Linked DNA regions of Notamacropus eugenii. The protein of the gene in region 2 interacts with the protein of the main gene of each other region in a pairwise test. Links are inferred from orthologs where the notes say so. Each region holds a gene or a part of one and is shown on either strand. Other genes may lie near its edges.

The links.
Region 1: the proteins of MAPK8IP3 (region 2) and KLC1 interact in binary tests that used the Homo sapiens proteins (3 or more experiments, as listed by UniProt). The link is inferred for Notamacropus eugenii from reciprocal best matches to the Homo sapiens genes MAPK8IP3 and KLC1.

The regions. Positions count from the first base shown.
Region 1 is NC_092872.1:349,271,633-349,278,821, forward strand, and holds the start of KLC1 (kinesin light chain 1), read right to left. Parts: upstream 3,015-7,189; 5' UTR 2,854-3,014; coding exon 2,708-2,853; intron 1-2,707. UniProt on the Homo sapiens protein: Kinesin is a microtubule-associated force-producing protein that may play a role in organelle transport. The light chain may function in coupling of cargo to the heavy chain or in the modulation of its ATPase activity.
Region 2 is NC_092872.1:48,926,813-48,934,314, forward strand, and holds the start of MAPK8IP3 (C-Jun-amino-terminal kinase-interacting protein 3), read right to left. Parts: upstream 3,002-7,502; 5' UTR 2,851-3,001; coding exon 2,533-2,850; intron 1-2,532.

The DNA.
Region 1 (7,189 bases), about 300 Mb from region 2:
TTTAATTAAGGAGTTGTCACCTCCTATCTAGACTTAAAAAGGTGTTATGAATAATTTTTACCTTGAGAAGAAAATAACATGCTGAAAATGAAAATACCAAGCCAAAATAGGTTTATGACAAATTCTCTTCTTTTTTTAAACATAAAATTCATTTTCTGATACATAAACCAAAAAATGTGAGGGAAAAATCCTTCCATTTCAGCCACTGTAAATATCTTCATTTTAATTGCTTTTCTACTTCTTAAAATGTACAAATTTCTCTAAAATTATTGCTGGACTTGAAGAGGATGAAAGTTAAAATTTTAAAATGTAAGCAGTAAACAAAACCACTATAAAGTCAGAGAATCAATTAATAAGTATTTGAGGCTAGATGAAAATTATAAAAGAAATATAAAACATAGCTCATGTCCTAAAAGAAATTACAATCTAGCTGGAAGAAAACAAAACTATATATAACAATAGCAAACAGTTTCAAGAGAACCATTATCAAATGCTAAATTTTAATATAGGCTATTAGTGCTGGCAGAAAAAGGAGAGATCAGTGAAGGCTGACACTGGAGAGGTTGGGCTTTGATCTGAGAGGAAAAAATTGGGTAACTCTATAGGAGAGATAGGCTTTCTGAAAAAGGGGAAATTATAAGTGAAGGTACAGAGGGTAGGAGGATCCTAAAAACATGGCATTGTGGTAGAATGATGAGATAAGCCTAACAAAAGTCCTGAGTATGTGATCGGGAACATAAAACCAGACTATAAATGACCCTGAAAGCCATTCTGAGTAGTTTAGACTTTATGAAGTAGAAAACAGGGAGCTAATTAAAACCAATTGTTGGAATAGTTCAAGTAAAAAAAAATTGTTTCATGTCTTTGGTCCATGCTGTATTATACTTAGCAGTATTCATGCTGAGTCTTCTCCCCAGTAAGTTTTTTTTTTTAATTTGTTTCCCCAGCACTTGTAGATGAATACATAATAAAAATCTACTGAAAAGAAATTATTAACTGAACCTATGATATGGAGTTTTTTTCTCTTATATAAGTACTGTATGACTCTACTTGTGATGACTATTGTAATTCTCTAGACCAGCTGTTCTCAGACTTTATGGTCTCAGGATCTCTTTACACTCTTCCCAAGTATCGGAGACCTCCCCAAAGAGCTTTTGTTTATGTGGGTTACATTTATCAATATATACTGTATTAAAAATTGAAATATCTTAATATTATGAAAATAATCTTGACCTCAGGGAGACCACACTTTGAAAATGCTGTTCTAGACAACATTTTAAAGCACACTAAACTGGGCTTTATAATCTAAACTTTCTATATATTCATTTGTCTCTAAATTTGTGCTGAAACTAAAAGCCAACCAGCGGAAATTCACCTTTTAATTTTATTATTCCCTTTGATAATCCAAGGATACAATGATAGCTACAGAGCCAATAGAACTACTATACTAATCCAAAAGTTTTTGAGTAGGAATGTCAGATGGCATTTGTTAGAATCTGTCCATTTAGGGGCAATATTGCCAAGATACTCAACTGTGTCGTTCATTTTAAACATTTTAAAAAGATCAAATTATTTTCATTCACACTGGACACTTCAAAACTGCCAATCAACATCCTTTTTAAAATGTTATAGGTTCAATGGAGATCTCTCTTGCTAATGCCTCATAGTAAATATTCTCAGGAGACTGCACTTAAATGTATATTAATATTTTTCAAAATAGCCAGTATAAAGTTATTATTTGCTTCACAAAATACTAATTTACACAAGACAGATATATCATCTAACTCCTAAAAGTAAAGCTTAAAGGTTAGAACTATTCCTACAACTGGTTCAAAACTTGTCTCTACATTTCTTTAATGAAAAGAATTTTCTTGTAAAGAAAATCTCCAAAGGGAATTGTGATGAACCTAAGATGATCCTATGATCACTGTGAGGTTCAATATCAAGTTCTCTCCATACTACTAAGTAACACAGCAAGACTGCCAAACTTCAACTGCAACATGATGCAGAAATGATGTTGCATTCTTTAGTGACTTTGAGAAACTGGTTTTTATATTACCTATCCTACAGAGTAGAATACTGCAGCCTGCAATACATTAACATTTAATCACTTTGCTCTTTAAGATACTTAATAAATTTCACGATGAGGCAAATTTCCCACCATATTAAAGGATTCTTATCCCTCAAAATACTGAATCTGTAAACATTATGGTTACCAAACATAACAAGGCCATTTCATTTTTCTTAATGGCATTTCGTCGGCATCCAGTGAAATGCCCATTAAAAGGAAATGAGTAATTCCTACACTTATATAAAGAAGATCAAGAAGTGTAATTCACAATTAACTAGAACAAGGAATGAAGTAATTAAACACGGTCTATTTATAGAGATAGTCTAAAATACTATAAAATTGTTCATGACTAACATTCCAAAATGTATTTTTGCAAGATATCCTCAGAAAATACTTACTATTCTTTTTTAACTCAATCTTATAAGACAGTAAAGGATGCTTTAATATACAATACTAGAAAAAAAGTAGACATTTTGACACACTATTACAATCGAATCTACAACATATTAATAGTACTGCTGCTAATATGGTGGGTTTTATTACAAGAATTCAACAGATTTTATAATTGAAAAAAGTACTCTAAGTTTGAGATGAAGTTCAGTTTTAGAGAGGTTGCCAATCTGATGGGAAACATACCGGGGTACACAAAACAGAAGAAATCCGGTCTGAGCGCGCTTTATCGGTGAAGAGAAGAAGAAAACGAAATTAAAGCCCCCGTTTCTCCTCTCCAAGGAGAGGAAGCTGACCTTCCTCTTCCAGGAATGCTGATAAAAATGTCTCATCCAGGGCCTTGGTCCAGGGTCTCCTCCCTGGGCGGTGTCTTGCGGGTGAAGGGGAGGGGGGACCGGAACCGCAGCGAGGAGGAACCCGGAAGGAAGAGGCCAGAACTCGGACAAAGCAGAACCAGGGCTGGCAGCCGGGCATCCCTCCTCTCTCCGCTCCCAGGGCGGCCCCATCCCCGCTACCCGCGCCCCTCCTTTTCTAGGGGATTCCGGGGTGGCCGCCGTTCGGCCTTCCCCCCCCGGCTCCTGCGACCTGGGCGCTACCGAAGGGAGCCCGAGCACTGGTCACCCAACGAGCCCCCCGCCCCACCCCATCCATCCCGCAGGCTCCCCGGGGAAGGCGGCGCTCCCGGCGCCGAGGGCCCGGGCAGGGATGGAGATGGGGAGATAAGCGAGACTCCACCTAGACCTCGCGGCCCCCGAGGAGGACGAGGCTCGGTCACCCTCTAAACTTCTGTAGAGAGCACAGCCCCGGCGCGGAGGAGGGGGAGGAGGAGGAGAAGGGCAGACGAGCCCCGGGCTCCGCGCCCGCAGCCCCCCGCCCGCCGCCACTCACCGTCCTGCTCCTGCGGTGGCCGCGCTGCCCGCGGGCTGACAAGGAGGGAGGGGGCTGGGGCCGCCGCCCAGATCCGCTCGCACGGAGGCCAAGGACGGGAGGCCTAGGAACAAAGGGCCGGCCGGCGGGGCAGCCGGTGCCCGACCTCGGGAGCCGCCGTCAAGCCCCTCGGGGGCTCGGGGAGGGCTGTCGGGCTGTCCGTCTGTCAGTCACTAGCGAGGGAGGCAGGTCCGGCCGCCGCCGCCCCGACACATCCTCGTCCGGGGCCCCCTCGCCCCCGGTCCTCCTGGCCTCGGCCAAACGGGTCCCGAGCGGCGAGCAGCCCGACCCGTCCCCGACCTCCGAAACCCGCGTCCCCGGCTCCCCCGTCAGCCGCCGAAAATGGCGTCAACACCCCTCCCCTCGCTCCCTTCTCCTCCCTCCTGCCCCAGAATGCCCCGCGACAGCTCCCCTCCCCGCCCAGCCCTACCCGATGATGTCATCGTGTCAGTCTCCGCTCCAGCGCGCAGACTCCTTTGCGGAGCAGGACCCCCATCTCTGCTGAACCGGACTGATCTTGGCTGTTACTAGGGATTGGGGCCCGGGGGCCAGCCCTTAGTCCCCGGAGCGGGGAGGTGGGGAGATCGGCCACTGGTCCACAGACTGCCCCACATGCAAGGCGAGGCCTCGGAGACTCATAGTGCAAGTCAGAGAAGGGTAGGGAGACGCCCATTGAAGGAAAGGGAGGGTCCCAGGGCGTCTGTGAGGCAGTCAGCCTTCGAACCCAAGTTTTCTGACTCCCAAGCCCAAATCTCCCCAGGCCTGGAGTGGTCACGGAAGGGTGCCCCTAGGAGCTGGCCAGAAGGGTCCCCTCGTGCTCCCCTTTTCCCATTGTGGGGAAGCAGCAGGGTGCAGTGAAAGCAGTGGACCGAGAATTAGAGGACCCGAGTTCGAATCTCCTACCTGTGCGATCTTGGCCAAGGCACGTTCATTGTTTACTGAGACGGATGAACTAGCTGATTTCCCAGCTTTCTCCCATACCGTATTAATTGCGTAGGAAGAAGAAAGAAGCATTCCAGCCACCACCCTACCTACCCCTATGTTCTGTAGCCGTTTAATAAAAGTGAATACTAGTCTGCTTCAACCCACTGGATCTCCAAGTCTCGCATCTCTGCGGTGGGCAATTCCCTCTGCCAAGTACATCATCCCTCTTTCAGTTATCTTTGAATTTTTATCCATTCTTTAAAAGTAACCTAATGCCACCTTCCTGTTTGGATTCCTCCCTCTACCCTCAAACCTTGTCTCCACATCCTTCCTATAGCACTCTGTGTTGCATCTTTTTAATGTATGTGACAGCTAGGTATTATAGTTATCTCTTGTCATCCCCCTTACGACATTCTGTTAAGTTCCATAAAGGGAAGGACTGTGACCAATACAAATCTTGTATCTCCCTCCAGTGCCTAGCACTGTGCACCGAAGTACTTAATGTTTTGTTTTTTAATGAATGCATCTATCCCACCCTTCCTTGAAACGAGGGAAGACTGCGGGTGTGGGTTATCGCATAAAATATGTATGTATGTATGTATGTGTCCTGTGAGCCTGACAAAAGATTTTAAAAGCACTTCAAGCAAAACCAACCAACGCAACTACTATTGACTGTATATGTGCAAAACCAACCAACACAAGCACACACACGCACAAACACACACAGAGCCAAATAGTGGTTGCGTTGCTTGGTTTTGTTTGAAGTGATTTTAAAATCTTTGTGATAAAGGGAAGGCTCACTAGGTGGAAAAGGACATGAATATATTTCGATATTCGGAAATAAAGATGTTAAAAGATAGATATCAACAAAATTAAGATTGTTCGAGGCATTAATTTAAAAATGTTTGTTGAATAAATCCTGTTCCCCCCACCCTACCTCCTTCCCCTTTCTCACTCCCAGTGCGTGCTTCTAGCAAAACTCATTTCCTGGGCTGGGCAAGGCTGGGGGGTTCCTCCTCCCAGTCCCCGGGTCATCCCACTCCCTCCCTGTCTGTTTTTAAAATCTACTGGTCCAGGTGACCCTGCGGAGCGGAGCCAGGTGCCTGGCTGTGCCAGGGGACCGAACTGTCAGGGCTTGCACCTACTGAGCCCAACCTGGAGGCAGCGTGTGTCGCGCACTCACATGCCGGGACCTAGCTCCGCACTGCTCCGGGCACCCCCACCACCACCGCCGTCACCACGTGCTCACTTTCCTGGCGGCCTTGGAAAGCTGGATGCTCCCAGGCCCAGCTTCAGCGCTGGCTGGGTTAGAGGGCGTTTGCATCACTAAAGGGGACATAGCGGTTGCTTGCCTGAATAGTAGGGAAAACAGCACCCCAGGAAATGTAAAAAGGCGCACTGCTCACTTTTGCCAACGTGACAGCCAAGAGAAAGGAGGAGGGTTGAGATTCTGTGTCAAATGCCTCCCAAGGGCCGTAGCCAGAGGATTGTATCATTTATTTATCCGTCGCAAATCTTTTGTCCCTCAAGATTTCTCCATGCGGTGAAGACAGCTGGCTGGCGTCAGTCATTAAAACTGAATTCTAAGCACTGAGTCACGACTGCAGAAGCCCTTCTAGTTCCAAAATAAAGTGGCGTTTCCATGGGTTTCATACAGACCCTGGGAACCATCACCCTTTGTTTCTAACCGTGTGTGCAGATCTCTTTTTTTTTCCTGAGACTGTGTTGTTCCTATTTGTCGGTGTAGGTACCTGTGCTTGGCCATGTGTGTGTATCGTTGTATATCTGTTGTGTAGCTTCCTTTTGGTCTATGCCTGTATCCGTTTTCTTCCTGTGCATCTGTGTGTGTAGCTGAGTCTGTGTGTCGTATCCACGTAGGTGTCTTTGTGTCTCCTTAGCACTAATCTGTTGCCCTAGAGACCACAAGGACAGAGAACAAAAGGAAGTCTCTTCTCTCTCCCTGGCAATTCAATAAGGAGACGAGGGAGGGAAAACTTGATTAGAAGGCACTTCCAACACCTTTGGAGAGGTCAGGGAGGAGGGAGAACTGAGGAAATGAGGTTTAGACACCATTTTATTTAAGCAACATGTACAGTACGTAAAGCTTTGCAACGTCTTTTTTTTCAGCCTTTTTTTTTTGTTCTCGTGTTCCCCAGAAGCACCCACCAATGAGCACCTAACTTCAAATATAAATGAATTCATTCAATCGTTGCCAAAAATATGACTCTCCTGTTCTATTCTAATCAGGAAATCTGGATTCCAGTTGTGGCTGGATGTGGTGATCTTGAGGAGCTCAGACTAGAAGACATTCTCTAAGGTCCCTTTCCAATCTGATCGTCTGATGTTCTCCCAGCTCTGATTTTCAATGTTCTGTAACCCCCATGAGAATCCAGGTTTTGGGTCCACAAGGGACTGAATTCAATCTTAGGGGCAGTCTCCTCTATGGTTCCCAGAACGTCTTTCTGGGAATTTCAGAAGATAGCTGATGTCTAGATCTCATAAGTACCCAAAATAATAATGCATAGCAGAGAGATTTTTGGGGGGGAGGGGAGGTGTGCAAGGATTCACAGTAGCCCATAAACAGTCCCTCCTCTCTAATGTGGCCCCATCTTTCTCCCTCAGGGACCTAAATAGTCCTCCAGACTCACAAAGATACCCTGTAATTTGAACTACATAAAGACATTCTGGTGTGATTGAGCACTTGAATTAGAATTAGAAAGACTCTTCTTAAACTCTTTGCCTCAGTTTCTTCACCTGTAAAAAGAGGCATTTAGATTTAATAACCTTTAAGATCTCATGCAGCTCTAAATCTATGAT
Region 2 (7,502 bases):
ATATATACACACACACACACATACATACACATATGTGCGCATGCGCGCACACCCCCCATATATTACTTTAAGGTTTGTAAAATTTTTTATAAATATGGCCACAACTACCCTTGGGGACTAGGTGCTATTATTATCCTCCTTTTTTTTTTTTTTTTACAAATGAAGAAATAGAGAAGGAAAGAGACTAAATGACACTTACTTAACTGTGTGTCTGAGGCTACATTTGAACTCAGATCTCTCTGACTCCAAGCCAAGATGTTCTATTAAGTGGCTCTTCAACCTCAGGCAAGTCACTTGACCTTTTAGGGTCCCAACCCTCCTTAGGTTGTAAAAGAGTTAAAGATTTAGAGAAAAGAGTTTTTAAGTTCTTGACTCCACCCCTTACTCCCCCCAAAATTACATATATTGTGGAAGATTGCCCAGTCTATTTATTGGAAAGTTTGACAATAAAATGTTAATTCATGAGGTAGGTCCATGGTAATTAAGCACTGGGCCTGGAGTCAGGAAGACCTAAATTCAAATCCAGCCTCATATACTTGTGATCTGTGTGACCCTGGGCAAATGACTTAACCTATATCTGCCTCAGTTTTCTCAATTATAAAATGAAGATATTAGCTCTTACTTCACAGAATTATTGTGAGGATCAAATGAGATAAAATATAAAGTACTGAGCATAGTATGCTATATAACATAGCATAGTAAGATTACTTATTCTCCTCTTAAGTCAGGAAATTTCTTGAATTTTATCTTAAAGGAATAATTTCTTCTCTTCTCTAAGATGGGGTGGGGGTGAAATACTGAGGGTACCAGATTTAAAAATCATGGAGGTAAGAGAAACAAACATAAGATTTTGGTACAACAGTGAGTTACTCTAACACAGGACCAGAAGTTTGTTGTGTTCAAAGACAACTCTTATTTTGACTAGAGGTAGTGTGATATAAGAGAAGCAGCCTGGATCTGGAGTCAGAAGGCTATGGTTCTAGTTCTGGCTTAGCCACTATCTAGTGACAACCTTGGGTGGGTTATATAAACTTTTCAGGTCTTCCATTCCCCCTCTGTAAAATGAAGGCAATGGATCAAACGATCTGAGGTCCCTTTCAGTTCTAACATTTTATGATGTATGTATAATCTTTAGTATTCTACCTGTAAAGAATGAGTTTGATGCTTTATCAGATATTGTCATTAGGTCTGAGTATTAGTATCAATTTTAGAGAAATATGGTGGATATCACCATCAACTAAAGAACACTTGCTTGACAGAAGGATGAAAAAACCTATCACTATCACTATGGTAAACATTAAGTTCATTCAGAGGGTTGTTTTATGGTTTTAGTGTGTCAAAACATTCCTTGAATCTCACTAAGAATACATCCTAGCTATGGTTTAAAAAATTTGTAAGTTCTTTCTCTTATTTCTGCTTTAAATCAGGATCACCATGTGGACAAATAAGAACATGGATAACAAAATTTATCATAAAGGAGTTTAGAAGCTTCCTATTTTGATAAAGAACCTTACTTTTGTCTGTAACACCTATGTATTTATGTACATACAAGCTGGGTTATGTGTATATATATATATACACTATGTATCTATGCAGGGCAAGAGTAGTGGCATTCTAATAATACATCGCTTTCTTCCAAATGCCTAGATGTCTGTTTAAATTGGTTCACATGCAGTTTTCCAGGTTATAGAGCAAAAATATTTCCTGATCAGAAAAATCCTATTTCTGCCCCCTCCAAAACCACACAGGAATTTTCCAGGATTTTCTATAAATGCACCCAATCTGACCAATGTAGTGACTTAAAGGGCAAAAGAGTTACCAACAAGGCATGATGAACTCAGCAGTAACCTCAATCACACAGAAACCAAGAGCAGTTTTACCTAACAGATGAGACAGAAGCTTTGGAGCTTTTGGCTCTCATTACGTGTTAGAAGCAATTTAACTGATTCTTCTGCCCAAAACCATAAAAGTCTTGGACAGGAGGGCACAAGGGAAAAAGCCCTTCCCAACGACGGCTTCCTACTGCAAAGAGGGTCTGTTTAGGCTGACTGCAGCGGGTAGAGGCTGGTCTAGGGAAGTAATCAGGCTTGGGCAACACAGTCTCAACAAACAAAACCCGATGTGAAGTCAGGATTGACGGCTGAGAAAAGACGCCGGGCCTTCAAGGATGGGGGCTCTATTTAGGGATCGCGGCCCAACCGGCAGCTGCCACCAAGACGTGTGTGACCTTGGGCATTCCTCGTGGGGCTGGGCTAAGTGCTGGGGACAGCAGGGTGACCTCGGGCTTCTCACAGGGAGCTTTCGGCCAGGGACACCCAAAGAAGGGATGCCTCTCCCTTTCCCTCCGTGGGTGTGGCCGCAGGGGAGAAGGGAAAGGCTGCAGAAGCTCCCTGAGGCCGAGTTTGGGGGCTCGGGGGGGAGGAGGCGGGGGTGAGCCGAGTTCCTGGAAATGAAATAGGGTGGAGGGAAGGAGGGGGAGCAGGCCCCTCCCGCTCCGCTCGGCCCCGGGCTCGCCCGCGGCTCGCTGCCTACCTCCTCGGCCTGCTTGCGCAGCGCCTTCTCCCGCTCGTACTGGGTGAGCAGCTGCTCGTTGTCCTCGCGCAGCAGCTCGAGCTCCACCTCGTGCTCCTGGTTCTCGCTGAGCACCGAGTCCAGGTTCTCCAGCACGTTCACCACCAGCGGCATCAGCTCCTTCACCACCTCCTCGTCGTAGCAGCTGATGAGCCGCTCGAACTCGCGGTAGATGGAGCCCGCCAGGCCCGACACCCGCTCCGACATCACCGAGCCCGAGCAGTAGTCGTCCTGGTACACCACCACCCCGCCGCCCTCGTCCATCTGGATCTCCATCATCGTGGCTACCGCTGCCGCCGCCAGCGCGGCCTGCTGCCTTCCCGGCCGGGCCTGGCTCCGCTGCTTCTCGGCTAGGTGCGCCCAGCTCCCCCGCTTCCCCGAGGCCGCCGCAGCCGCTCTGCTCTGCCAGTCATTCACCGGCCGGAAGTCCCGCCCCACCTCCCGGAAGCCCCTGCTCCCCCTCTGGAGAAAGGGGAAACGAACGTCTCCCAGGCAACCGCCTGCGGGTGCGCTGACACGTCCTCGCTAGGGGGAGCCGAAGTCGTGAAGGAGAGGAAGGGGAGCATGCGCACTGCTGCTTCAAGAAGCCGCTTGGCCTGAGGTCTTTTCGGAGCACTTCCGGCGAAGTGCGACTCTCTCCCGGTCACCTTAGAAACGTTCTCCCCAATCTCTGCCTCTGGATCAGACTCCCCAGAGAACAGAATCCATGACGGGCAGAGGGAGGGGGCGGGGCTGGCCGGAATGAGGAGCGGCCGCGGTACTTGGGGTTACGGTCCAGCCATGTTAGGTGCAGAGGGGTGCACACAGTCGGGGTGGCCTAGGAGGGAATGATGGAGAGCGCATCTGATCCCGGAGGCAGTCCGCAGCTCCTCGAGGTTACTGGGGAGGTCCGGGATGGTGTGACACGGGAGACACGGCACGGACCGCCCCGCATGGCGTGCCCACATCGGGGAAGGGGCTGGGCTCTGCGGGCAAAGCGGAGCGGACCTAGCCCAGAGAAGGGGCAGAGAGTCACGTTCAGAGAATCCACCCCAGATGTTCGCGCCCACCCAAGCTCTCATGGTCCCATCAGCCAGCCTCTAACTGGACTCCAGCGGTGACGTCATTCAGCCAAGGACTTGGTCAGACTCATGTCTTAGAAAAGCTGTTTGGAAGATTGATTTAAAAAATGGAGGGAAGAAATCAGACAAAGGAGGGTCCAATGCTAAGGCCACTGTAAGAGGTGACAAATGCTTGAACTGGGAGAGTGGTCATGTGAGTCAAGAGATAGGGCAGATTTAAGAGAGATTTTGGAGATTTAATCATAAAATTCCTAAGAGCTGGAAACTCTTAGATCAATGGGCTGAAGAAGAAAGAGTGCAGGATGACTCCAAAGTTTCAAACCAAGATGAAGGCATCCATCCAGGAAGGCTACAAGTGTAGATTTTTCTAGAACATAAATTCTGGCTTGGGTAAATTGAGTTTGAAATACCTATAGGGCATCTAGTTAAAATGTTGTGTTTGTCCTTCCTTCTTGATGAGGACCATGACATCAAGATGAGGACCATGACATCAAGATGAGGACCATGACATCAAGATGAGGGCATGACTTGCAGCTGACTTTGCTTTGAGTGAGGGAGGGCTGTGCAAGGTCACCAACCTCACTTTCTTCTCCTGAGCCATCTAGGTCCAGTGGCCTGATACTCATCAGGATGACCTGCCAGGGTAAGGAGGGATTAAAGAGGCTAAGGTCTGCTAAAATGGGGACCTATACTAGACTGGTAGAAGTGAGAATGAATTTGAGAAAGGTTGAATGAGAAATCATAGGACTTGGTAACAACTGGTTACCAAGGCAAAAGAAGATAAATTATGCAAATAAAGTGATTAAAATGTCCATAGACTTTGACCAAGAGACTCCTCTACTAGGCTTGTATACCCAGTGAGGTTATAGGATAAGAACATCCCCCTACACACCAAAATATTATCAGCAGCCCTTTTTGTGTTAGCAAAGAATGAGAAACAAAACAGATTTCCACTGACTGGAGATTGGCTAAACAAAATGTGATATATGAATGGAACAGAATATTATACTGTGCTTGTAAGAAATGATGAATGTAATGAATACAGAAAACCATGGAAAAGATTTACAAGATTTGATGCAAAGTGATGTAAGCAGTCAAGAAAACATATTCAATGACTACAACAGGGGTGGGGAACCTACAGCCTTAAGGCCACATGCGACCTTCAAAATCCTTAAGTGTAGTCTTTTGATCGAATCCAAATTTTATAGAAAAAACCCTTTTATTTTGTGGCCCTAAGGCCACAGGTTCGCCACCCCTGGACTACACAAAGTAAATTAAAAGAAATATAGATTTGATAGGCAGTTAGCAATGCAAGATTGGAGTTCAGGAAACTAGGGTTGGATGTGTAGATTTAGGAGTCATCTGAATTGAGGTCATAATTAAACCTATGGAAGCTGATGAGGTCACCAAGAGAAAATGAGAGACTGGCAGGAGGCACCTTTCAAATCTATAATTAGCGTGAGATTTTATAATCAAATGAGGCTAGGAGAACACAACGTACAAAATAAGTTTTCAAAATAATTACAAACTAACCACTTAAGGAAAAAATATTCCAAGTCTAATAAAAGAAATGCAAATAAAAAGGCTGAGGCTTCACCTCATACTCATCAAGTTTGCAAAGACAAATATCAGCTTTGTAAAGGCAGTGAGAAACCAGGCACAATAATGTACAGATGGTAGAACTGTAAATTACTCTTCTTGAAAACTCTTTGTTGTGGTTGTGGTTTGTCCTTCATTCCTGAAAAGGAACATGACATCAGGAAAATGATGCCATGACTTGCAAGTAAATTGGATTTAAGTAAGGGAAGGCTGTGCAAAGTCACCAGCCTCACTTTTTCCTCCAGTCATCTGGGTCCAGTGGCCTGATAAAGATCAGGATGACTGGAGATGGCCCCTAAAACTCTTTTGTAATTACTCAAGTTACTAAACTATTCATGTCCTTTGATTCATACACAGATCATAACACTGGGGATATAACCCAAGGAGGTCAGCAGCAAAAACAAAAGCCCATGAGAATATTCATAGCAGTAACTTTTTGTAGTAGCAAAAAACCTGGAAACCAGTAGAGGCCTATCAAATGGAGAATGGCCAAACAATCAGTGTGTCACAGGAATATAACAGCGTACTACTGAATCATAAGAAATGATTCATAGGAATTTAGAGATACATGTGAAGACTTGCATAGACTGATACTGAGTGGAGAAAGCAAAACCAGGAAAATATACACAATAACCATCCAGCAACCATGAAGATAACGTGAAAACAATTTGGTAGCAATGCAATGACTAATGTGGAGTCCAAATTACATGATTCTTCATAGAGAGGTGGATTATTGTCACCTGCTTGGGGACTATTGCTGCTCTCTGATTGGGCCTGTGGCCTATTCTGCCATGCTGCTACCACCAGTCCACTACCTGGGGCTTACTTGAAAAAAAGGAAATTTCCCTTTTATCCATCTTCTTTCAACAGTTATCTGTCTGGGCCTGGGTACTTTTTCCCACCCACCCCCATGCCCTCTTTCTAGCTACACATGCTGCATAATGTCTTGAAGTCTCCATCCTAAAGTTAACTCCTAAGGAGATGTTGCTAATTTATCTAAACCCATTCCTCCATGATCCACAAAACTCCCAGTCACCCAGGATTGAGGTGTCAACCTCAACCCCATTTTCTTACTCCTCACATGCAATCAAATCATCTTGATTATGTTGTCAGTATCTTATACACACCATTCTCTCTTCTGTCACTGCCACCATTCCCAGTACAGGCACTCATCACCTCATCTATGGAAGTGATAGCAATAGCCTCCACCTTGGTCTTCCTGCCTCAAATTTCTCCACTCCAGTTTAATCTCCATTTGGCTCTCAACTGATCTTCCTAAAGCCTAGGTCTGCCCGTGTCACCCCCTATTCAATAAACTCCAGTGATTACAATCAACTCTAGGATCAAACATAAAATTCTGGCAAAGATTCCTCTATAATATGGCCTCTTCCTACAATTCCAATATTATTATGCCTCATTCCCCCTGCCCCCTATAATACTTTGTGATCCAGTGATACTGGGCTCCATAGCATTCCTTAAACAAGACCTCCTGACGCCAGACATTTCTTGTTTCCATGCCTGGAACATTCTCCCTCCTCTTTATCATTTGCCCTTCTTGACTTTTTCCAAGTGCCAGTTAAAATCTCATCTTCTACAGGAAGATTTTCCTATTCTCCTTTAAAATTATTAGCACCTCCTGTTTATCTCCAATTTACTTCATATATATGTAAGTGTACATGTGTAAGTACATGTATATACACACACATCTTATTTGTACAGTTGTTTGTATGTTGTCTCTTTCCCTTAGATTATGAGTTCTTTTTGAGCTGGGACTGTTTTTTTTTCTTTTTGCCTTAGCACGGTGCAGGGCCACAGTAAGCACTTAAACACTGCCTGTACCACATCAGCCATCTTACTCAAACTCTAGTATCGGTTGCCTTTGGCAAAAACGATATTTTTCTTTGGTTTTTAAAGCCCTTCACAATCACCTCCAGTCTATCCGCATTACTTCCCTTCCTGCATTTTAGAGTCCAACCAAACTGGCATTCTATTTCTCACATATGGTACTCCAACTTCTCTGTCTTGCATTACCTGTCCCCCATACCTGAAGTGCATTCCTTTCTCACCTGACTCAGAACCCCTCTTATTCAAGTAACTGAAACACCACCTAGCAGCAACCTTTCCTGACCCTCCCACTGGTGCCCTCTTGCCCTAACAAGACTCTATTTATTCTTTTTATGTTTTATATGTACATATTTTTTCCCCAATTAATGTTAATGCCATGGGATTTGTTTCATTCTTTTTTCAGCACTGAGCAAAGTGCCTGGCACA